Linked DNA regions of Cricetulus griseus. The protein of the gene in region 1 interacts with the protein of each later gene in a biochemical or structural test. Links are inferred from orthologs where the notes say so. Each region holds a gene or a part of one and is shown in the gene's direction. Other genes may lie near its edges.

What was found.
Region 2: the proteins of Shank1 (region 1) and Cacna1d interact in a biophysical measurement, tested with the Homo sapiens proteins (2 studies listed by IntAct, with this or other methods). The link is inferred for Cricetulus griseus from reciprocal best matches to the Homo sapiens genes SHANK1 and CACNA1D.
Region 3: the proteins of Shank1 (region 1) and Wwtr1 interact in a test that uses a peptide from one of them, tested with the Homo sapiens proteins (2 studies listed by IntAct, with this or other methods). The link is inferred for Cricetulus griseus from reciprocal best matches to the Homo sapiens genes SHANK1 and WWTR1.

Annotation. Positions count from the first base shown.
Region 1 is NC_048599.1:153,179,583-153,183,996, forward strand, and holds the start of Shank1 (SH3 and multiple ankyrin repeat domains protein 1), read left to right. Parts: upstream 1-1,594; coding exon 1,595-1,849; intron 1,850-1,976; coding exon 1,977-2,180; intron 2,181-2,597; coding exon 2,598-2,669; intron 2,670-4,414. UniProt on the Homo sapiens protein: Seems to be an adapter protein in the postsynaptic density (PSD) of excitatory synapses that interconnects receptors of the postsynaptic membrane including NMDA-type and metabotropic glutamate receptors via complexes with GKAP/PSD-95 and Homer, respectively, and the actin-based cytoskeleton.
Region 2 is NW_023276807.1:189,385,472-189,389,118, forward strand, and holds part of Cacna1d (voltage-dependent L-type calcium channel subunit alpha-1D), read left to right. Parts: intron 1-2,974; coding exon 2,975-3,080; intron 3,081-3,647. UniProt on the Homo sapiens protein: Voltage-sensitive calcium channels (VSCC) mediate the entry of calcium ions into excitable cells and are also involved in a variety of calcium-dependent processes, including muscle contraction, hormone or neurotransmitter release, gene expression, cell motility, cell division and cell death.
Region 3 is NW_023276806.1:93,981,085-93,984,731, forward strand, and holds part of Wwtr1 (WW domain-containing transcription regulator protein 1), read left to right. Parts: intron 1-214; coding exon 215-333; intron 334-1,623; coding exon 1,624-1,736; intron 1,737-3,647. UniProt on the Homo sapiens protein: Transcriptional coactivator which acts as a downstream regulatory target in the Hippo signaling pathway that plays a pivotal role in organ size control and tumor suppression by restricting proliferation and promoting apoptosis.

The DNA of each region.
Region 1 (4,414 bases):
TGTGCCCGCTCCCTCCCTCGAGGCCGGAGGGGGAGGGGCCGAGCTGTCCTGGGTGTTGGGGCAGTGGAGCCCGCGCTATGGGGGTCCGGCCCTTGCTGACCTTTCATCCCACCTGCCACCCAGTTCTTGTAGAGCTGGGGCTGCAGAGGGGATGTCAGCCAGGGTCAGCTGAGGGGGAGTGGCTGAGGTCACACTGACAGTCGGGAGGTGGTGTAGGGCAATCAGCGGACTGAGCTGGAGGCCCGGAGTCTCCTCCGGAGCCGGACGGGTGGGGCAACCAGGCCAGATACCTGACGCGGGGAGGGGGCACTTCGGAGCTCGGTCCCCACGAGGGGGAGGGGTCCTCAGCCCGCAGTTAGACGCCTGCTCGCCTACAGTTCTTGGAACTCTCTTCCTTAAACATTTCGTTTTCCTTCCCCAACCCTCCTCCCCCCAGCCCATCCCCACTCCCCCAAAGTCAGCAGTACCCTCCACTGCTTCCCATCTCCATGGCAACGGTGCAGGAGCCGGGCCTGGTGTGGGGTGGGAGGGACCAGACCAGACATTCTGCTTTCCGGTTCTAGAGTGGGGAGTGGGGGGTGGTGAAGAGGAGAGAGAAGGACCGCATTTGGAAAGGAGCCACCCCTCAGTAGGCCACCTTGAGAGGGACGACCCTCCCCATCGCCTGGTCCCCCATATTGCTGCAGTTACTTCTTAGCCTCCTCCCCAGCCTCCCCACCCAATCCAAGTTCTCCTCGGTGGAGCCACCAGTGCCAAACAGTGCCAACCCACCCACCCTGCTGTGCCAGTCCTGAAACACACCCACAGGTCATCCACAGCTGCCCACACCCACCCAGGCCACCACAGCTTGTCACCTGGACGGTCCAGCCAGGGCCAGCCTCCTTATCCACCCACATATCCTCTTCACATGCCCCAGTAACCTCTCATAGGTCCCTTGGGCACAGCTCAGGGGAACTTCTCTTTTCTGCACATCCACCCACATTTGTGTCCCTTGATCCCCTCCAGGGACAGCTCATTCCCCAGCAGCAGCCCTCCAAACATGTGGTCAGCCACACTTCAGTGAAGTCACCAGCTCTCGGGCACCTCCTGCTGCCCCAGGCTCAAAACTCACACCTCCATCTCGCCTTTACTATAAAAGTCATTCTCAACCTCCCTGGGGTGAAGAGGCCAGGCTCTGGCCAGGAGGGCAGGATGCCGGGGTGGATTGGTCCACCTGTCTGTCCTTAGCTAATTTTAGCTTCATTTTCTGTGGCTTGACAAAGTGGGCCAGTAGCTCCCGTGGTGATTCTGTGATTTCTGGGACACACTGGGTCAGCAGCAAAGTGGAGCGCAGGGGGGTGGGGGCTGCAAGCGGGGCCAAGGACAGGGAGGAGAAGGGTACCAAGAAGGCTGAAGAGGTGGTGTGAGCTTGTCTGTGCAGAGGTCTGAGGGTACGCCTACTCTCCCTTGCCTCCCAAGGCAGAGGGAACAGGCTGCCACGGTGCCTGTCACTGAATGGTATTGGTAGCTTCTGAGTGGCACTATGCTGAGGGTCACCTTTGCCTTGCCCAGCTGCCTGTGATGCTGCTGTCCCCCGTCGCCCCGTGGCCCCACGATGACCCACAGCCCCGCGACAAGCGAGGACGAGGAACGCCACAGTGCCAGCGAGTGTCCCGAGGGGGGCTCAGAATCCGACAGCTCCCCAGACGGGCCAGGGAGAGGCCCCCAGGGGACCCGGGGCCGGGGCAGTGGAGCACCTGGTAACCTGGCCTCTGCCCGAGGCCTCCAGGGACGCTCCATGTCTGTCCCAGACGACGCCCACTTCAGCATGATGGTTTTCAGGATTGGCATCCCTGACTTGCACCAGACGGTGAGTCAGCTGACAGCCACATTGACCAAGGCTATTTCCCCACCCCTACTCCCGGCTCTACCCCTTTTTCAACCTACCCTCAACCCTCAGACAATTAACCCAACCTGGCCATCCTATCTCCCACCAGAAATGCCTGCGTTTCAACCCTGATGCCACCATCTGGACAGCCAAACAGCAAGTCCTCTGTGCCCTGAGTGAGAGCTTACAGGATGTGCTTAACTACGGACTGTTCCAGCCGGCCACCTCAGGCCGGGATGCCAACTTCCTGGAAGAGGAGAGGCTGCTAAGAGAGTACCCCCAGTCCTTTGAGAAAGGGGTACCCTACCTGGAGGTGAGGCTCCAGAACACTTAACAGAAGTCGTGCCCTGGAACACGTCCACTCTGATGCCAAGAGAACCCCAGTGGGCTCTTCAAGATGTCCCGAGAACTCATGGGATCCTGAGTCCAAATCACCAGCTGAGTTGCCTCAGATGGCATTCCTTCCCTTCCTTATGCCATCAGCTGGACAGGAATCCCAGCTACAGTAGTCATTCTAGAACATTCCGTGTGTGGGTTACACTTGCAAGATAGGGGTTATAATTCAACAGACCTTGATGATCTAGTACTCTTGGAAAAGTCGCCCTACAGGGGCCATTTCTATGCTAACCCTGAACTCATCTGGGAGGAAGGGAGGAGTATCAGACATTATTCCCCAACAAAGAATCTAATTACAAGTCTGTGTCTCTTCATACTCCACTCCTGGTCTCAGTTCCGCTACAAGACCCGAGTCTATAAACAGACCAACCTGGATGAGAAACAGCTGGCCAAATTGCACACAAAGGTGAGAGTACCTCCCCTGGGTGTGCCACGCTGCACCCAGAGCACTCTGTCCATGGCCTTCTTTTCCAGTCTTTGCCCATAAACCCTCCCCTCTGCCAACTCCTCAGTTACACCAAGTCCTCCATTTAACATTGAATCCTGTTTGGAGATGCCTGTTTGTCTCCATCGTAACCCCTCCCCACTTCCCTCTGTGTCCTGTCCTGCCCAGACCAATGCCATCTGTGCCTGTTGTGTGCATTTGTAAGGGAGGTGGTGGTGGCGGCGGTGGAGTGAGTGGATGGGTGCACACGTGGAGGCCAGAGAACAATTTTGGGGGAGTCAATTTTCTTTTTCCACCATATGGGTCCTGGGAATGTAACTCAGGTGGTCAGGCCAGGCCTGGTGGTAAGCACCTTTACCTGATGAGCTATCTCACTGGCCCCACCTTATTTTTAAGACAGTCTTTTACTGGTCCGAGGCTCACCATGTAGGTCAGACTAGCTGACCAGGAAGCCCCAGGGATGTGCCTGTCTCCACCTCCCCAGTACTGGCATTACAAGTGCACACCATCATCACCCCTGGCTTTCTTATGTGGGTTCTAGGGAGACAAACTCAGGGTCTCATGCTTGCGGGACAAGCACTTTACTCCTAGCCCTTCACCCCATTCTTTTTAGTTTGTTTTTGTTTTTGTTTTTTGAGACAGGGTTTCCCTGTGGCTTTGGAGGCTGTCCTGGAACTAGCTCTTGTAGACCAGGCTGGTCTCGAACTTGCAGAGATCCGCCTGCCTCTGCCTCCCGAGTGCTGGGATTAAAGGTGTGCGCCACCAGCACCCGGCTCACCCCATTCTTTTAATTCTGCCTTTCTGCTCAGAAGCACTTAGGGCCCTTCTTTTACCCTACCTCAGTCCATCTCCTGCCTAGGGAGTATTTCATAGACACCACAGTGCCCCAGGCCTATAGCCTGTGTCTCCATCAAGCACAGACTCTCCCTTGCCTTGCCTTGCCTTGCCTTGCCTTGCCTTGCCTTGCCTTGCCTTGCCTTGCCTTGCCTTGCCAGACACATTTATTCTGTTGGGTTCTTTCCCTCCAGACCTTGGCTGATATCTCCCCTGTGTCTGCCCTGGTCCCCAAGGAGCTGTGAGGAAGTTAGGAGGCTGATGTGGCCAGAGGGAAACAATGTCTTGACATTCAATGGAAAGAATTCCCCTCTCCCCCGCCTCCCAAAGCTCCTCTGCACCACACCATCCTCCCACTTATTCCCTCCCCTCCACGCCTTTCCCCTCGCTACCTGTGCCATCCACAGTGGCCATGTGCAACTCTTTTGTACATGTGACAGGTGTGAATTGAGTCACACTGCAAAAACCGTGCAAAAATCCCACTGTATCTTTTTTTAAAGATTTATTTTATTTTTAATTGTGTATGTGTATGTCTGTGTGTGGGTATGCACATGAGAATGCAGGTACCCAAGGAAGTTAGAAACACCAGATCCCCTTGGAACTGGAATTACCTGCCATTGGTTGGTCCTGGGAACTGAACTGGGGTCCTTTGTAAGAGCAGCAAGTGCTCTGAATAGCTAAGGCATTTCTCTAGCTCCTGTGTTATCTCTTTAAAATTGCATTATTTATTTATTACTGTGTGTGACTGGTGGTGGGGTGGAGATGGCATGTTCATGTTATTGCTCACACGTGGAGGTCAGAGGATAATTTCTAGAGCTTAGTTTTCTCCTCTCATGCATGTTTTGGAGATCAAATTCAGGTTGGCAGGCTTG
Region 2 (3,647 bases), on another chromosome or scaffold:
AAAACAAACAAACAAACAAACAAACAAACAAAAAACAAAGCCATATAGCCACGAGTGACAGAAGCTGTGCAAGGGGCACTGGTGAGTGCCTCTTCCTTCTAGCCCTGTGAGTGACAGTCAGCTCTCTCAGGGGAGGAACTGGCAGGTGCTGTGCATGTGTATGTATATATATCCAACTGTATACTTAGACTGGACTGAAGTTACATTTCTGGGTGTCTCTGTATTTTTAAAAACTGAACTTTGATTGCCCCCAGGATGGTTGCCATGCCCCAGATCTTGGAAAATAATATTGCTTCTACCTGCTTGTCCCCCTCCCCAGGTCTGGGGGCCAGGCTCCCTCACCACCTACAAAGGTTAGCTGAAGTCTTCTCTTGAGCACATGCTTTCTAATTACTCACATGCTTCTTTGGGCTGGGTAAAACAAAGCATTCCCTTTTCCCAGAAGGGTGTTTGTGGCCGACAGGTCCTCTGAGCATTTCCTGGCAGCAGGCAGGGGTGTGTGCATGAAGCTTTCCTCATTAGGCTGAGGGGAGGGAGAAGCCATGTTGTAAGATTGCTGGGTGCCAGCTAGAAAGTGGGGCTGAAGGCCTCTAAAAAATCTAGGTTCCCACTGAGGCAGCTGTCTGCATGGTCTCTATCTTAGCACATTTATTTTGTCTGCTCATGGACAGGAGTTAAAATGTAGCAACTGTCTAGAAAGGTTTTAGAGAGAGCAGCTGAATGCCAGGACAGGATATGAAGGTTTTCACGTGCTTTTCTTTTTAGCACAGATGTCTCTCCTCTAGAGTGAGTTATGGCGTCTCTCACATACTTAGGGCTGTGGGTGTGCATTTTCTCTTTAAATTCTCTAGTCTGAGGACAGAACTCTTGTATAGGCCAAGAGGGGGCTGCTAAGTTAGAATGTGCTGAGGTGGTCTCACTGGAATGGAGAGGCAGCATACACTTGCTGGAAACACATCCTCCTTCTGAGGTTGGTGTGAGGTGATTTGAGTGAGCAGAGACCTCTGAGTGGAGTCATTCATTTTCTGTGGGATGAGGTGCTGTTTCCCTTTGTGCACAGGAGTTTGCACATAGCAGTTTAGATGTCAGAATGAATTCCTGGATCTCACCACTAGCTCCCTTTCTTGAGTTGCTAGATGCAAGTATGTGTGCAGGGCTTAGGAGACACTGCTGCCAGTGGAGAATGTCTGTATATAATGGGACAGTTTCTGTGTCAGTTAGATAGTACATGGCCCCTTGCATTTTAGGGAGCAGGTTATAGACATCCTTCTTTAGCAGTCTAGTCAGGTCCAGTTAGCCCAGAGAGAATCCAGTTGGTTGTTCTAGGCTGGTAAGGGGGTGGAGGTGGGGCTAGATGTTCCCCTTTAAGAAGCTAAGGGCTCAGACCCGCCAGTTTCTTGTAGTGGCAAGATATCCTCTACTGTCTGTTGACTGGAACTAGAGCTCTGCCAAGAAAGAAACACCTCAGAGTCTTACATTTAGCCTTCCTGAGCAGTGTTAGTAGTTCTCATATTTTCAGGTTTATCATTTTAGGTATTTTGAGAAATAGGAGAGGAAGAAAGATGGTGTGGGGGAGGGGAAGTACTATGTGTGTCTTTATAGGAAATGACTTCAGGGCTGTTGACTTAAAGTGTCAGAGGGGACCTGCAAAGAGAAAAAAAATGAAAAGAGAATTCTGAAGTCTTCCTAAAGTCAGATCCCTGGGTAAAAGATTTTATAACGGAGTTGAGAAATCAATATGATTAAAGCTAACTGGCTTAAAAATAAACCCATCAAAGTTAGTAAGAGGATAATGCTATTCCTGTCCTTACTCCAGTGACTTATCCGAGCTCTTCAAAGGGGTGAGGCTTTATAGAACAGGGAGTTATCTACCTCCTGACAGGCAAGAGGTATTTGTTTCTTGCATCACCTTGGGGGTCCCCAGAAGGCCATCAACAAGAGACTGTTCCTACCCCTAAATCTTTAGCACCCAGAGGGGTTTGCCTTGTGGGTGAGTGTTATACATGGGCCTAGTTGGAATTCAAGCCCAGGAAATTGCACATTAGGTATTTCTCAAATAATCTGCTGATTTGGGCAGATATCAAACTTTGTGTGGCCAATTTTGACAATACCTCTTACTAACAGATGCTTAAGCAAGTGTCTGTTGAAGGCTCCTCTCAAAATGACTCTTCCAGACAGCCCTCCGAGATTTGAACTTGTTTAGAGCCTGTTTTGAAAGTGTCTGGTGCTGATTTCTGGTGGCTTTTAAATTTAATTTGTTTATAAATTGAAGACAGAAACAGCACATTATGAAGTGAGTGGAGTCCAGCTCTAATCTGAAACAGTTATAGTTATTGATTACTCTGGTAGAGAAGGCAGAGCAGGGAGCTGGCAGCCTGATTATCATAGCATCTGAGGTGCCGGGATGTGTTACACAGGATCACAGAGAAGATAGAGCTAGTCCCAGGGGCTTTGCCTGGACTGGTCCCCATCAGGAGTTTAGAATGACTAGCCAGGAATAGCCTCTGAGAAAATGGCTCTATCATGGTGGCAAGGATCTGTGGGAGAGAGGTCACTGTCATAATGGTTACCTTTCTGTGTCTATGACAGCTGGTTTAGTAAGGTCCTTCCTTGTCACTTTCTAAACCACAGAAAGCAGAGACATACTCTACACAGTGACCTAACTAGATGCTCCTTACTTCCAGGTTTTAGTACACAGTGTGCATCAAAAGAAGGAGTAGATCTTGCAGTAGGAGAAAAGGCTGAGAGGAGGTCACAGGATAGAAAACTTACTATGAGGGGAGCAGAGAAAGTTACTTCTGCTGCAAACCCAGTAGTCACAGAACCATATATACGTGGGTAAGGGGATGGGTGGTGGGTGATGGGTGGGTGACTTTCATTTTAAAAACAATTCCTGTGTGCCTGATTGGGGATGTGATAAAGAGAGATGTCTGATGTTTGCATAATGCATATATTCCTTAACAAAAACTTTCAGACCATTTGACATATTTATATTATTGGCTATTTTTGCCAATTGTGTGGCCTTAGCTATTTACATCCCATTCCCTGAAGATGATTCTAATTCAACAAATCATAACTTGGTAAGTGACTTAGAATTCCCACTTGTGGTGGTGTACGGTTACCCTCTACCTGGTACCTAAGCTTACAGCCAGCTTTGTTCGTGGTGTAGTTTACAATTATGTATGCTGTATTTCCCAAAACTTAGTAACAGTGGGGTTATGTTGTTGTTACTGGTTTTTAGATTTGACCTGAATTCTTAGATTTATGCTGAATGAAAGTGTTCAAAGTCATGAATCTGACATAAATAGAGATAGAACTTTTATGGAAGAAGTTTGTAGAAAGGTTTTAAAATAACTTTTCTCTCTAGTCAGGCTTTTGGTACATAATATTAGTTCTTAAGAAATCCAGTGTTATTTTTGAATGGTGGATACTATGGTTAATTTTTCTGGTAAATAAGGATTGTCATAGATTTTGTATGTGAACTTACTAATTTTTATAGATGTAGAATACAACAAATCTGATTAAATAGAATATAATTTGGGAAATAAATCAGCATGACAGTGGAGTTTCTACTCCACAGCCTACAAAAAATACTCCAAGTAGATTTTAGAACAAACTATGGTTAAATGCTCCAGGATGCCTCCATA
Region 3 (3,647 bases), on another chromosome or scaffold:
CAGGTGTGTGGTTTTAAAACATCCAGAGGATCAGTTTTCCCTTGGGTTCTGTTAGCTGGGAGTGGAGAGAGTGGTATGTGTTGAAGACTGTGGAGAAAGAATGCTAATCTTCTGATGACTTTGATCTACTGGAATAGGTACAAAGTGTTTTATGTTTGGTGAGCAACCCTTTGTGGCATCTGAGTGATTCCCTTTCCCCATGACTCCTGTATAGGAAGCGGCCCTCTGCCGACAGCTCCCCATGGAAGAGACCATGGCCTCTGTCAACCCACCTGCCATGACCACGGATATGAGGTCCATCACCAATAATAGTTCAGATCCATTCCTCAATGGGTAAGTTCACACTGGGGACCATTGACTGTTGCTTTCTGGCCTATGGTTTAGGCTGTATTGGGGTGTTTGTTTACATGGAGAAAAGGCAGGGTTCTTGAGGGATGGGGAGAGTTGGGGAGAGCTGACAGAAGAGAGAAAAAGGAAGCTTTTAAAAAAATTTCAATTTCAAAACCTAGTCACATGACATTGAGTATGTCCCTCAGTGATTTGCACATGAGGATGAACTTTCAACAGGACAGTGCTATTTGGTAATCACTTGTAAGCATCTTGACATTCTTGGGAGTAAGTAAGGGTGAGGTTAAAAGCATGCCATAGCAAATAGAACAAGAAAAGTCAGAAGAATTTATGGTGAAAAGTGAATAAGGTTTAGAGTTTTGTTACTAGTGTTAATTTTCTGCTCTGATGATGAAAACTGTTTCTAGGGAGCCAGGTGGGAGGTACGTAAAAACTACTTTCTTCTTGCATGTTGGTGTGAGTTTTACATTATTGATTAATTAAGAATTAATTAAAACAGAGATGTTGGCTTTAAAAGAGAAAGAAAAGTGGTTGACTTAGCCAGAAGTATCTGAAGGATAGAAAGTCAACCTTAATTGTATACCTCATGGGAGCGGGCATTGTGTTTCTGCTCTTACCAAGGCTCCTGGCATGCAAATGCAAATGAAGATAGAGGTGAAAAAGCAAGTAGCCAAAATAATGAATGAATGGATTTTTTGAAGTGGTTTATTTTAAAGAATAGAAAAATATAAAGAAAACTGAGGTACCATCCAGGCTTGTTATATTTCAAGCACTGTTTGAGCCCATCTCTACACCACTAAGTTTCTTTCTTCCCTTCATTCTTTCCTCAGGCACAGCCACTCTTCAGAAAGTAGTGTGTGGCCATCACAGTTTACTTTGCTATTTTTCTGGATCCCTTTTCCCTAGCCTCTTGTGTGCTGGGATTGTAGGCATGGCCCACCATGACTGGCTACATAATACTTCTTTTACCATTAATGAGTATATCTATGATCATTATTCAGCACTAATTTTTTTCTGGTTTTTAAATTTCACTTAAGTAGGATCATGTACCATAATCTGTACTTAGAATAGGGTTAAATGGTTATTTTATTCCTTCACTCCTTAAGATCAGGTTATACATCTGAAAATTAATGGGCCCAGTAGAATTTTCTCCCTTTCATTGACTAAGTTCTGTGGCTGCATCTTTACTGTGATCTTTATTTAGTGGACTCATGTTAAGGTCTTCACGTTTATTTATTTATTTATTTATTTATTTGTTTGTTTATTTCTCCGTAGAGGGCCTTATCATTCAAGGGAGCAGAGCACAGACAGTGGTCTGGGCTTAGGGTGCTACAGTGTCCCCACAACTCCAGAAGACTTCCTCAGCAACATGGACGAGATGGACACAGGTGGGCTCCCAGCCTGCAACTATCTGCAGTGTGTTTTCATTTTCAGATTGTCCCCTTGGTTATTGCAGTCCTAAAGTCCAATGGGAATCACAAACCCTGAACATAAAACGAAAGCTAAAAGCCCACTCAATGCACAGGCACTACTACTTTTCAGGGCTCATGCAAATATGACTTCATAAGGGTGTGGGCTTGTAAGACCCAACCCCCATCCAATTTAGTGTTGTACCTCCTTTTAGTTGTAATGAATAGTCCATGCTTTCCACTGGGATTTATACTATTGTTGGTTCTCTGATTGTGTTGACCTTTTCATGTTACTTTCTGGTTTGGGGAAGGACTAACAGTAGGTTTAGCTGGCAACCCAGAGGACTCTAATTGTCAGCTCTAATTTCTAACATAACACCTCCTTCAACAATTGACAAGAAGACAACCAGGTTGACTTTTGTAGTCCCAGCCTGTGCATCCTATAGAGTAGACATGTCCAAACTCCTGGGATTGGAACATGGCATTGTCATCTGCTAAGTTCACATTTGAGACCTGCAGAGCTGGAGAGATGGCTCAGTAGGAGCAGAGGAGCAGAGTTCAAATCTCAGCACCCACATAGCAGCTCATAACTGCCTGTAACTCCACACGAGTGTGTGTGTGTGTGTGTGTGTGTGTGTGTGTGTGTGTGTGTGTGTGTGTGTGGTGGGATTTATTTTGCTTCCTTGAAATAGCCTCATGAGGTGGTTCCTTCTGATGCTGTTTACTTTCATTTTTTAAACTCTGGGAATCCAGTAAGGGTAAAAAGCAAAATTAAATAATTCGAGAGGGGTGGGCACCCCAGGAGACATTAAAAAGATTCATTCGCTCTTATAGGTTTCTAAAATAATGTCCAGTGGGCAAATGGGGAGTGCTTTTGAAGTCATAGTACACAATTAAATGGTATCTTGAAAAGAACACAGGCAAAATTCAGCCTGAGTTGAACCTTTGTTTCTCATTCTGTGGTTCTCTGTGGAAGCTCTGTGGGCCTCAGCTTCTCACCAGTGAAACGAGAATAATGTCCCCACTTCTGCCTCTCCATTGAAGAAGGCTATTGAAATGGATTTGATAAACACTGTGGTTCCTTTTAATCTTGTCAAATGAGTGTCAACTCATTGAGTTCATTGCCACCTCTGTGAGATGTTTGTAAGAAATGGGCATAAACTGCTAAAGAGTTGTATAATATTTAGTAATGCTTAGTAATTAACTGAGGGCAGGTGGAGCTCAATGGTGACTAAAAAAGATTGTTGGATCTGCCAATCACATTGACCACTTGCCCAGTAGCAAGTCGGCTGAGAACCCTCCCCCTTTGCAACAAACACATCCAGCTGAAGATTGAACAAAGGAATAGTAACATAATAAGCAAAGGCTGGGCAGTCACTCATCCTTCCAGAACGTTCCATGAAAATCATACCTCTGGAAGAATTACCCCCCCTTTTTTTTCCTTAAGTGATGAACTTAGTAGCTAAAAAACGACAAAGATTTAAAAAGACCACAATGACACTGTAGAGTCAAAAGAAATACTTTGAGATTGTTAACCTTGATGAAGAAGATTGACTTGTCAACTCATGCTTTCATTTCTGCTGAGAAAGAATAGGAAGAATTCTTTTAAAAGGAGATTTTGTTTGGCTAAAATACATATTCTCAGAATTAGGAGATCATAATGAGATTTTGAACTGTTAAATTTTGTGCATGTGTGTTCCCGTGTGAGTTTGTATGTACCACATGTGTGCAGGTATTTGGAGGCCAGAGGGCATCCGATTTTCTGGAATTGGAGTTACAGGTGTTTGTGGGCTGCTTTGTGGGTGCTGGGAATTGAACTCAGAACGTCAGAAAGAGATCTTAACTGCCGAGCAATCTCTCCAGCACCTGTAGTGATAACTTTAGCAGATA